2 linked regions of the Cricetulus griseus genome follow. Each later gene encodes a partner of the first gene's protein in a complex. Links are inferred from orthologs where the notes say so. Each region holds a gene or a part of one and is shown in the gene's direction. Other genes may lie near its edges.

Region 1 (4,420 bases):
TTTTAAGGTTTGGGATACTTTCAAAGCTCCATTCCTATGTCAGCTTTCTCTCACCCGTATTACACTCCCACCCATCTCTCCTGCGTTTTACTCTTCCTTTGTTTCTTTGAGACTGTGTAGACCTGTCTGGCCTGGACCTCCCAGAGATCCGCCCGCCTCTGCCTCTGAGTGCTGGGGTAAGAGGCCGCGTCCCACTAATTCTACCTCTTTTCAAGCCAAAGTTCCCCCTCCCTGTATTTTGGGGCCGAAAACTGGTGAGTTGGTTGGAAGATAGTGTCCAGTATCAGCACTTCTCTCATTACTCTGAAGAAGGAATGCTGATTATTGGACCCTTGGAGCCTGAGGAAGGGCCTGCTCCCCACACAGCACATTGTGAATGTGGCACATAGCAAGAGCGCTGGGGACATTTATGCAAGGAATGCCTGCACGCACGCAGAGTGGGCGCAAAATGCTCCGGAAACATGCGTGCTTTAGGAGCTCAGCGCTCGGTAGGCAGCGAACCCCGAGCCCTGGCTTCGTAGTGCCAGGGTTCGAATCCCGCGTCCTCGGGCAAGCGCCTCGCTGCCTTTGTGTCTCTGAGTCCCACTCCTCCGCCCGGTGAGCAGCGGCCGGCGGGCGTGAGGTTTCGAGGACACTCCTCGGTACGGTCCGACAGGCCGGCCCAGCCCGGCCCACGCCGCGCCCCAGGCCCGAGCAGCTACCAGGGCTCCGGAGGCCGTGCCGAGAAGCCGCGGCCTCCTCGGCCGGCGACAGACGCGCGCCCGCGCCCAGGGCGGGGCGTCCACGCAGCCCCGCCGTCCCACGGCCGCCCGCACCTCTTTCTCTCTCTCCCTCCCTCCCTCCCTCTCTCGCTCGCTGGTCCCCGCTCCGAGAGGGCCGCGCTCGGCTCAGCAGCGCTCCCGCGAGCCGCACCGCCGCCGCCGCCGCCGCCGCCGCGGCCCCTCCCCGCCCCCCGCGCGGCCGGCGCCCGTCACGTGACGCGCCGCAGCCAATGGCGGGCCGAGCCGCGGTCGGCGGCCGCCATTGCTGTCAGAGCGAGCGAGCCCGGGAGGGAGGAGAAGCGCGGCCGACTGGGGAGGAGGGGGGGGTGGGGAGGAAGAGGAAGGAGGGGACGGCGCTCGCTGCCGGGGTCGCCCGCTGGCTTCGTCCGCACCCCCCCCTTCGCGGGCTCGCGCGGCAGCGGCGGCGGCGGCTCGGGGCGGCTGCGGGGCTCGCGTGCCTCACGCGCCGGCGCGGCGAGGGCGAGTCGCCCGCCGGCTGGAGATAAACAAGGCGGCCGACGAGGCGGCGAGGCGGAGGCGGAGGCGGCGGCCCTGCGCGACAGAGGCGGGCGCGTTGCCGCGCCGCGCCCCCCGCCGCCGCCGCCGCCGCCCTCGGGCTCCGCGCGCGGCCTCGCGCCCCGGTGCCCGCGAGCCGCCGCCCGGCCCGGCCCGCTCCGACATGCCCCGCTCTGGCGGCCGGGCTCGCGGAGGACCATGACCGCCGCGGCGAACTGGGTGGCGAACGGGGCGAGCCTGGAGGATTGTCACTCCAACCTCTTCTCGCTGGTGAGTGGCGGGGCGGGGGCCCGGGTGGGGGGCGCGACCTCCCCGCCGCGCAACTTTCTCCTCCCGGAGCCCCGGCGGCGTCGGCGAGCGCGGCGCCCGGCGTGGACGTACGTGTGGAAGTCGGGGCGCTGCGGACGCCGGGGCGCGCTCGGAGCGCCCACCTCCGTGGCAATCACACCCCCCTTCCTCTCCCCTTCCCCCTCTTTTTTCTTTTCTTTTCTTTTCTTTCTTTCTCTCTTCCTCTCCCTCCCTCTCTCTCTCTCTTTTTAACTCCTTCCCGAAATGTGGAAGGCTTAGAATTCTGCCTTGTGCAGCCGCCGGCGCCTGCGATCTGCAGGCTCGTCCTCTCTCCGGATCGGATCGGCCGCTCTCCCGCGTCTGCCTTCTGAATTTTCTTTTTTTAAATTCCACAATGACACCTGCGATTTCGACCGAAAACAGTTGATGGAAGGCGATTGTGTCAGGGAAAGGACTCTGGCAGCGGAAGCTCGCACGGTTGTAAACACGGACAGCCGCCAGCCTCTCGGGGCTTACTATGCTGGAGAGCGGGAGAGCCATTGCTCAGAGCCCACGGAAGGTGGAGGAAGCTCCTGCTCCTCGGCTCTCCTCCGCTGCCTTTAAAAACTGTTTTTTCTGCCCTAACAAGGAAAACACACACACACACACACACACACACACACACACACACACACACACACACGAGAGAGAGAGAGAGAGAGAGAGAGAGAGAGAGAGAGAGAGAGAGAGAGAGAGAGGAGAGCAACAAGCTGGGCGGTTTGATAACATCGCTTTTATCTGCCTTTGCCTCTCCTCTCTCCCGCTTTCGCCTCTCTGATAATTGACAACTTTTGCTTTGGAAGTGCATCGCCTGCCTTAATCTCGAAGCATTTAGGGTGTCAATTGTTCTCCTGGAAGCCTGGCACCCGACGAGGGCGGCTCGATTCATCGAAATTAAAAATGTATAGGGCTCCAGCAACTCTTTCCTGGCGGTGGCAGTGACATTTGGTGGTAAATGCCATCTTTGCTTTTTATTGGGTCGTATTACCTCGCTCTGAAAACATTCGCGTTGTTAAACCTGGTGCTTAGACTGATAATGGGAGTGCGTGGTCTTTAAATACGCGCTTTGTGCCTGAGTTACTGTATGTGGAGCTATGTGCCCGGGAGAGTACGAATTTGTTTAAATATTGAGCAAAGATTTGTAAACAGATGTAAGGCAATTATGTTTCAAGCGTAGAATATAATTGGAAAATTGGTTGAACGGCTTATTTAATTTAGCCTTAAAAACTCAACTTATTTTAAGTTGTGTGCCCAGTATTTGTTTTGGGGGGGGCTGGGGTACGCTCCCTTTTGGAGAGCATGCATTTATTGCAAATTATTTTCTGTAACCCCTGCTGTAGATAGGAGCTTTATTTCCTCTCAGTCCTTGTTTACACTGGATAAATAATTTAGTGTTGAAATTGTAATTAGTTACATTTAATTATGGGTGGCATAGATGCTTTTTCTCCCCTTGGAGACTAGTGGAGAAATACGAATTCTTGCCAACTTAGGAAGTGTCATTTTATTTTCATGCAGATAAAGAAATCAAGCATGATTTTGGCCTACAAAGACCTAGTGACATAGTACTCCTGCTTGCAGTCCTGTAACAGTGTAACAGCAGGCTGATTTCTTCTTACTCTGAATTGAGACTCAGTTAGAAGTTGGGGTTCTTCCTTCACCGCTGTGGTAATTTACCCCTTGATCTTTTGATGTGAGGATAAAACTACTTTTGCCCCCCCCCTTCCTCTGTCTGTCATTTAGTATTAGGTTCAGGAACCTTCATAGATCAGCAAATGTATTGATTAAGGGGTATTTAAAATGGTTTTGTTTGGCGGCTGGGTGACCACATTGACATACTTACAGGTAATTAAAATAACCAAGTCAACCCATATTAGTTTGGGAGAGCTCCCAAATTACCATACATCATGCTGACTAATAATGGCTTGTGTGCATGTGGCTAATTTATAGACAATGAATTGTGTGGACAAATGAAAGACTGTTGGTGCACAGCTGAACTGTGAGGTCATTCCTTATCTCTTGAGCTTCAAGGGGGTGATAGTGTAGAGATGAGATGTTTGAAATTCCTTGTTGAAGATTCTGGACTTTGATTTTTACTGGCCTAAGGATGCATTCTGGGTATTTCTCCCCTAAACATCTTTAAACCAAAGAGTTGACTTTTGAATATAATTTAAAGTATAATTAACTTTTTGGGTAATCCCTTTGAAATGCAGACATGCTTAGATTGGTTTAAAAATATAGAATGTTTATATTTCATGGTACCTAGGGATGTATAAATGCTGTTTAATTGTTCAAAATGGCTTATTTATTTTTATTTTATGTGCATTGATAGATGTTTTGCCTGCATGTATGTCTCTGTGAGGGTGTCAGATTCTTTGGAATTGGAATTACAGATGGTTGTAAGCTGCCATGTGGTTGCTGTGAATTGAACCCCGGTCCTCTGGAAATGCAGCTAGTGCTTTTAACTCTATCTAAAATTTATTTGAAGAAAAAAAAATCAAACTTCAGTCTTTTCTTCTGATTCCAAATTGAGAATTTTTCCTGAAGATCATATACAGACAGCAGCAATCTATCATGTTAAGAATACATTGCCCTAACAACATAGTTGATTCCAAAGGGTTGGCAGTGATCACCTTTTCAAAGTCATGTGTATGTCTGAAGAACTATAGGTACTTGGCATTTTGTACTTTTTGCCATTTTGACCTGCAGTTTTGTTTCTGAGCAGAGAAGAGTTATTACTTCTAGAAATGTAGCCACACGATCACGTTATAGTAGATGGAAGTGGAAGACCGAGTAGATCTGTGTGGAAACTGACCCAC
Region 2 (3,646 bases), on another chromosome or scaffold:
AGGATGTCCTGGAACTAGTTCTTGTAGACAGGCTAGTCTCAAAGTCAGATATCCACCTGCCTCTGCCTCCTGAGTGCTGGGATTAAAGGCATGGCCACCAACACCCGGCCTCAGCCTGCTTTCTTATAGAACCCAGGACAACCAGTCCAGGAATTGTCTAATCTTATGGAGGCATTGTCTCAATCAGAGTTCCCTCCTCTTAGATGACTCTAGCCTGTGATAAGTTGACATAAAATTAGCCAGTACAGTATGTATATCAATGCACATGCCGTATCATGCATATGGAGTCAGATCAGCTCTGGGAGTTGGTTTTCTCCTTTGTCAGTGGGATCCAGTACTCAAAATTAGGTTATCAGTTTTGCACAACAAGTAATTTCACCTGCTGAGCCATTTCATTTCACTGCCTCCTTCGAAAAGATAGTGATTTATGTATCAGAGTGAACATGGGGAAAGTAAAGTCAACTCCCTAGAGTGGGAGGGGTCCCAAAGGAAAAGTAGTGCCTTGATTATGTTATTATGCTTGAGTAGCATATATTTTTATACTTAATACTTATTTGTGTGTGTGTGGACTGTGTACACCATGCATGTGGCTAGAGGCCTAAGGCTAACCTGCATAAGTCATTCTCTCTTCTGTCTGTGTGTCCCAGGGATCATACTTATGCCATCAGGCTTGGTGTCAATCATCTTGACTTGTTGAGCCATATCACTGGCCCAGTAAATGTATTTTTAGCATAATATATTTGTTTCATATTTCTGTTAGCCCATTGGGACAGTTCTTATGTGCTTAAAAAGCACAAAGCTTCATTGACTAGGTAAGGATCTAGTGGCTTGGCTTAACTTAGGGACACACTGGGTGACAAGTACCTGGAAGAAAAAGAGTGCACTTGTCTTTGAGTAATTACTCTGTGCCAGGCTTGTACTAATTCTTTATGGGTATTATCTAAATTTTAATAGATGATCACTCTGGGTAATCTTGGTCTTTTGTATTATCTGTTTTCTTTTAGTTACTAGGAAACTTGGTATCAGACTTTGTGGACACCTTTAGGCCCACAGCAAGGATAAACTCCATTTGCGGTAAGATTACAATTTGAAGTTTGCTTAGTATATTACTTAATACCTGATCTTTAGTGACTATGAGTCTGCTGGACAAAGCTGAAAGATGGCCTCTTATGAGTGGCTTGCCACTTTGTAACACTCGAGGAAACTAATAATGTTTATTTTCAGGTGCTTTGGATAGGCAAAGACAGAGATCATAGAGTGGTGTAACTTTCACATAAGACCATTCTAGAAGTTGTGTTACCTAGTAACTGGGAACACTTTTTATTTTGTATATTTTGATTAGCTTGGTATAACTTTTATTGTGTTTTATTTTTGGATTTTTAAAACAAGGTCTGTGTAACCCACACTGGCCTCAAACTATGTAGGCCGGGGCTTCATGCCTGCTGAACTACTGAGCTACGTCTATAACGCCTGGAAATGCTTCTTAAACTCTAGGCAGCTGGAAATGCCAGCAAGCTTGTTCTGCTGTGGCTATAGTATGGGGAATACCAGACTCTTCTAGTCCATTATAATTCACACCTTAGCTCTTCATTGGATATTTTAGCTATCTACTTTTTTATGTTTGGTTTAATTTTCTCATTTGATACTCTTTGCAATGCCCAAATGTATTTTTAGAAATTGTGGCAGCCACATAACTATCTGGGATATAGACCTTCTTTTAATGATCATCTATTGAGCATTTCTTAAGAGTCAGTGCAGTTTTAGACACAGGGAATATAAACATAAACTACATAAATTCTCTAGACAAAAAATCCTGAACTCTAGGTTTTGTAACTGATCGGATAATAATATCCTTAAATGAATTACAGAAGTGAAGCAGATCTTAAGAAAGATGAAGGTGAGTTCATTTCAGGTAGGTTGAGCTTGGGATATCTATGGAATAGCTAAGTGACACTGTTGTTTAGGCAGTCAGCATATGCCACATCAAAGTCTTCTAGAGAAATCTCACAAAACAAACAAATAAAACCCAAAAGCGTTAACTCTAGAGCAGAGATCTCGGGCTGAATCTGTACAGTCCCATCTCATAACCATCGGAAGCTTTGTGTTGTAGTCTGTGGCAGCTTTGCTGCCGGACTACAAAGGTGACTGTGTGTCATTACAACTTTGTAAAAGCAGATAGCCAGCTAGATTTGGCTCAGGGACTGTACTTTGCTGACCTCTGCCTTAGACACTAAAACAAAACTCAACAGTTTCAAATTTGGAAGCCTTGTACAAATTGATTGTTCAGCCATCTGAAAGAAATAAAGGTAATAAAAATTCTCACACTTTAGTCTCCTGACAGCATTGTTAAAGGCATTTAAACCAGTGTCTACCCCAGCATGCATATTCATTACTATCAAAGAGGTATGAAGAACCTGGCATTGCCTCGGTCAGATTTACATAGAAATGTTTTTGTAATGCGTGTACAGGCCGTTGCAGTCTTCTGCCAGTTGTGAACAACTCAGGAGCCATCTGTAACTCATGGAAACTGGACCCTGCAACCCTTCGCTTTCCTTTGAAAGGCCTTTTGCCATATGATAAGGTATGTGTTAAATCCAATGTAACTTTTAGTCTTCTAAGAATCACCATCCCATAGTGTCTAGTGTTCAATGTCAGATGCCTTTTAATAGTCTGGGAAAGTAAATATTTTAAAGAAAGATAGCTTATGGCTTACTGTATTTTATGATGTGTGCTTTGGTTTTGTCTTTGGTTTCCACTTCTTTTGCTAAGGTCTTGCTATGTAGCCTTGGCTGGCCTGGAACTCTGTGCAATAGTCTGAGCTTGTGGTGCACCCCTTCCTTTGCCTCCCGGTGCTGAGATGACAGCTGTGTACTGCCACATCTGGCTGTAGGTGCTATGTCATTCTGCTACCCCAGGTATACTCTGTGGTTTGTGGGTTTGCCTTTAGGAGTACTTAGATATAGAAAGCTCTCCTCAAGTAGAGTTCTTGTCTAAGGCTCTGCATTTAAAGAACTCAAAGATGCAGGATTTGAACTGAGGACCTACACACATTACTATTGTTCTTTTGGCATCTACCCTTTTCAAATTTGGCAATAGTGGTTAACTTGAAGAGAACGTTTGAAAACTGTATCCATTCTCTTTGGTTAGATTTATAAGTGGAAGATTCTTTTCTTTACAATGATGTTTACGACAAATGTGACTGTCTGAAGTCATGTTTCTGAGTTTAATACCAAAGCAAAGAGGGTATGTTTTTTGTAATCACTAGGGGTTTTTCTGTTAAGGAAGAACAGTCCCACTAAGTTCATTAATGAGCAGTCTTGCAGATTGCACAGACTCCATAGTCCTTAGAACTGTATCCACAAAGCTAGTTGTTGTTAGTCATGACTGTAACCCCAGAGGCAAGAGGACACTACGAGTTCCAGCCATCCAGAGCTTTATAGTAAGTTCTAGACCAGAGTGACACCCTGTCTCAAAAAAAAACAAAACAAAACCAAGCAAACAAAAAACAACTTGTGTCTACAAACCAACCCTTACTATTAAAGTTTCTGTGTAAAACTGACTGGTTATTCTGTTTTTAAGTGGCCCATGGAATTCTTTTTTTTTTTTAATTATTGAGATTTTTGTTCTTATTTTATGTATATTAGTA

The links. The genes of interacting proteins can lie anywhere in the genome.
Region 2: Med13l (region 1) and Med23 share a complex: the UniProt entries of both Homo sapiens proteins name them as parts of the mediator complex. The link is inferred for Cricetulus griseus from reciprocal best matches to the Homo sapiens genes MED13L and MED23.

What each region holds. Positions count from the first base shown.
Region 1 is NC_048597.1:98,444,130-98,448,549, forward strand, and holds the start of Med13l (mediator of RNA polymerase II transcription subunit 13-like), read left to right. Parts: upstream 1-1,475; coding exon 1,476-1,547; intron 1,548-4,420. UniProt on the Homo sapiens protein: Component of the Mediator complex, a coactivator involved in the regulated transcription of nearly all RNA polymerase II-dependent genes.
Region 2 is NC_048595.1:244,052,779-244,056,424, forward strand, and holds part of Med23 (mediator of RNA polymerase II transcription subunit 23), read left to right. Parts: intron 1-1,004; coding exon 1,005-1,074; intron 1,075-2,468; coding exon 2,469-2,581; intron 2,582-3,646. UniProt on the Homo sapiens protein: Required for transcriptional activation subsequent to the assembly of the pre-initiation complex. Component of the Mediator complex, a coactivator involved in the regulated transcription of nearly all RNA polymerase II-dependent genes.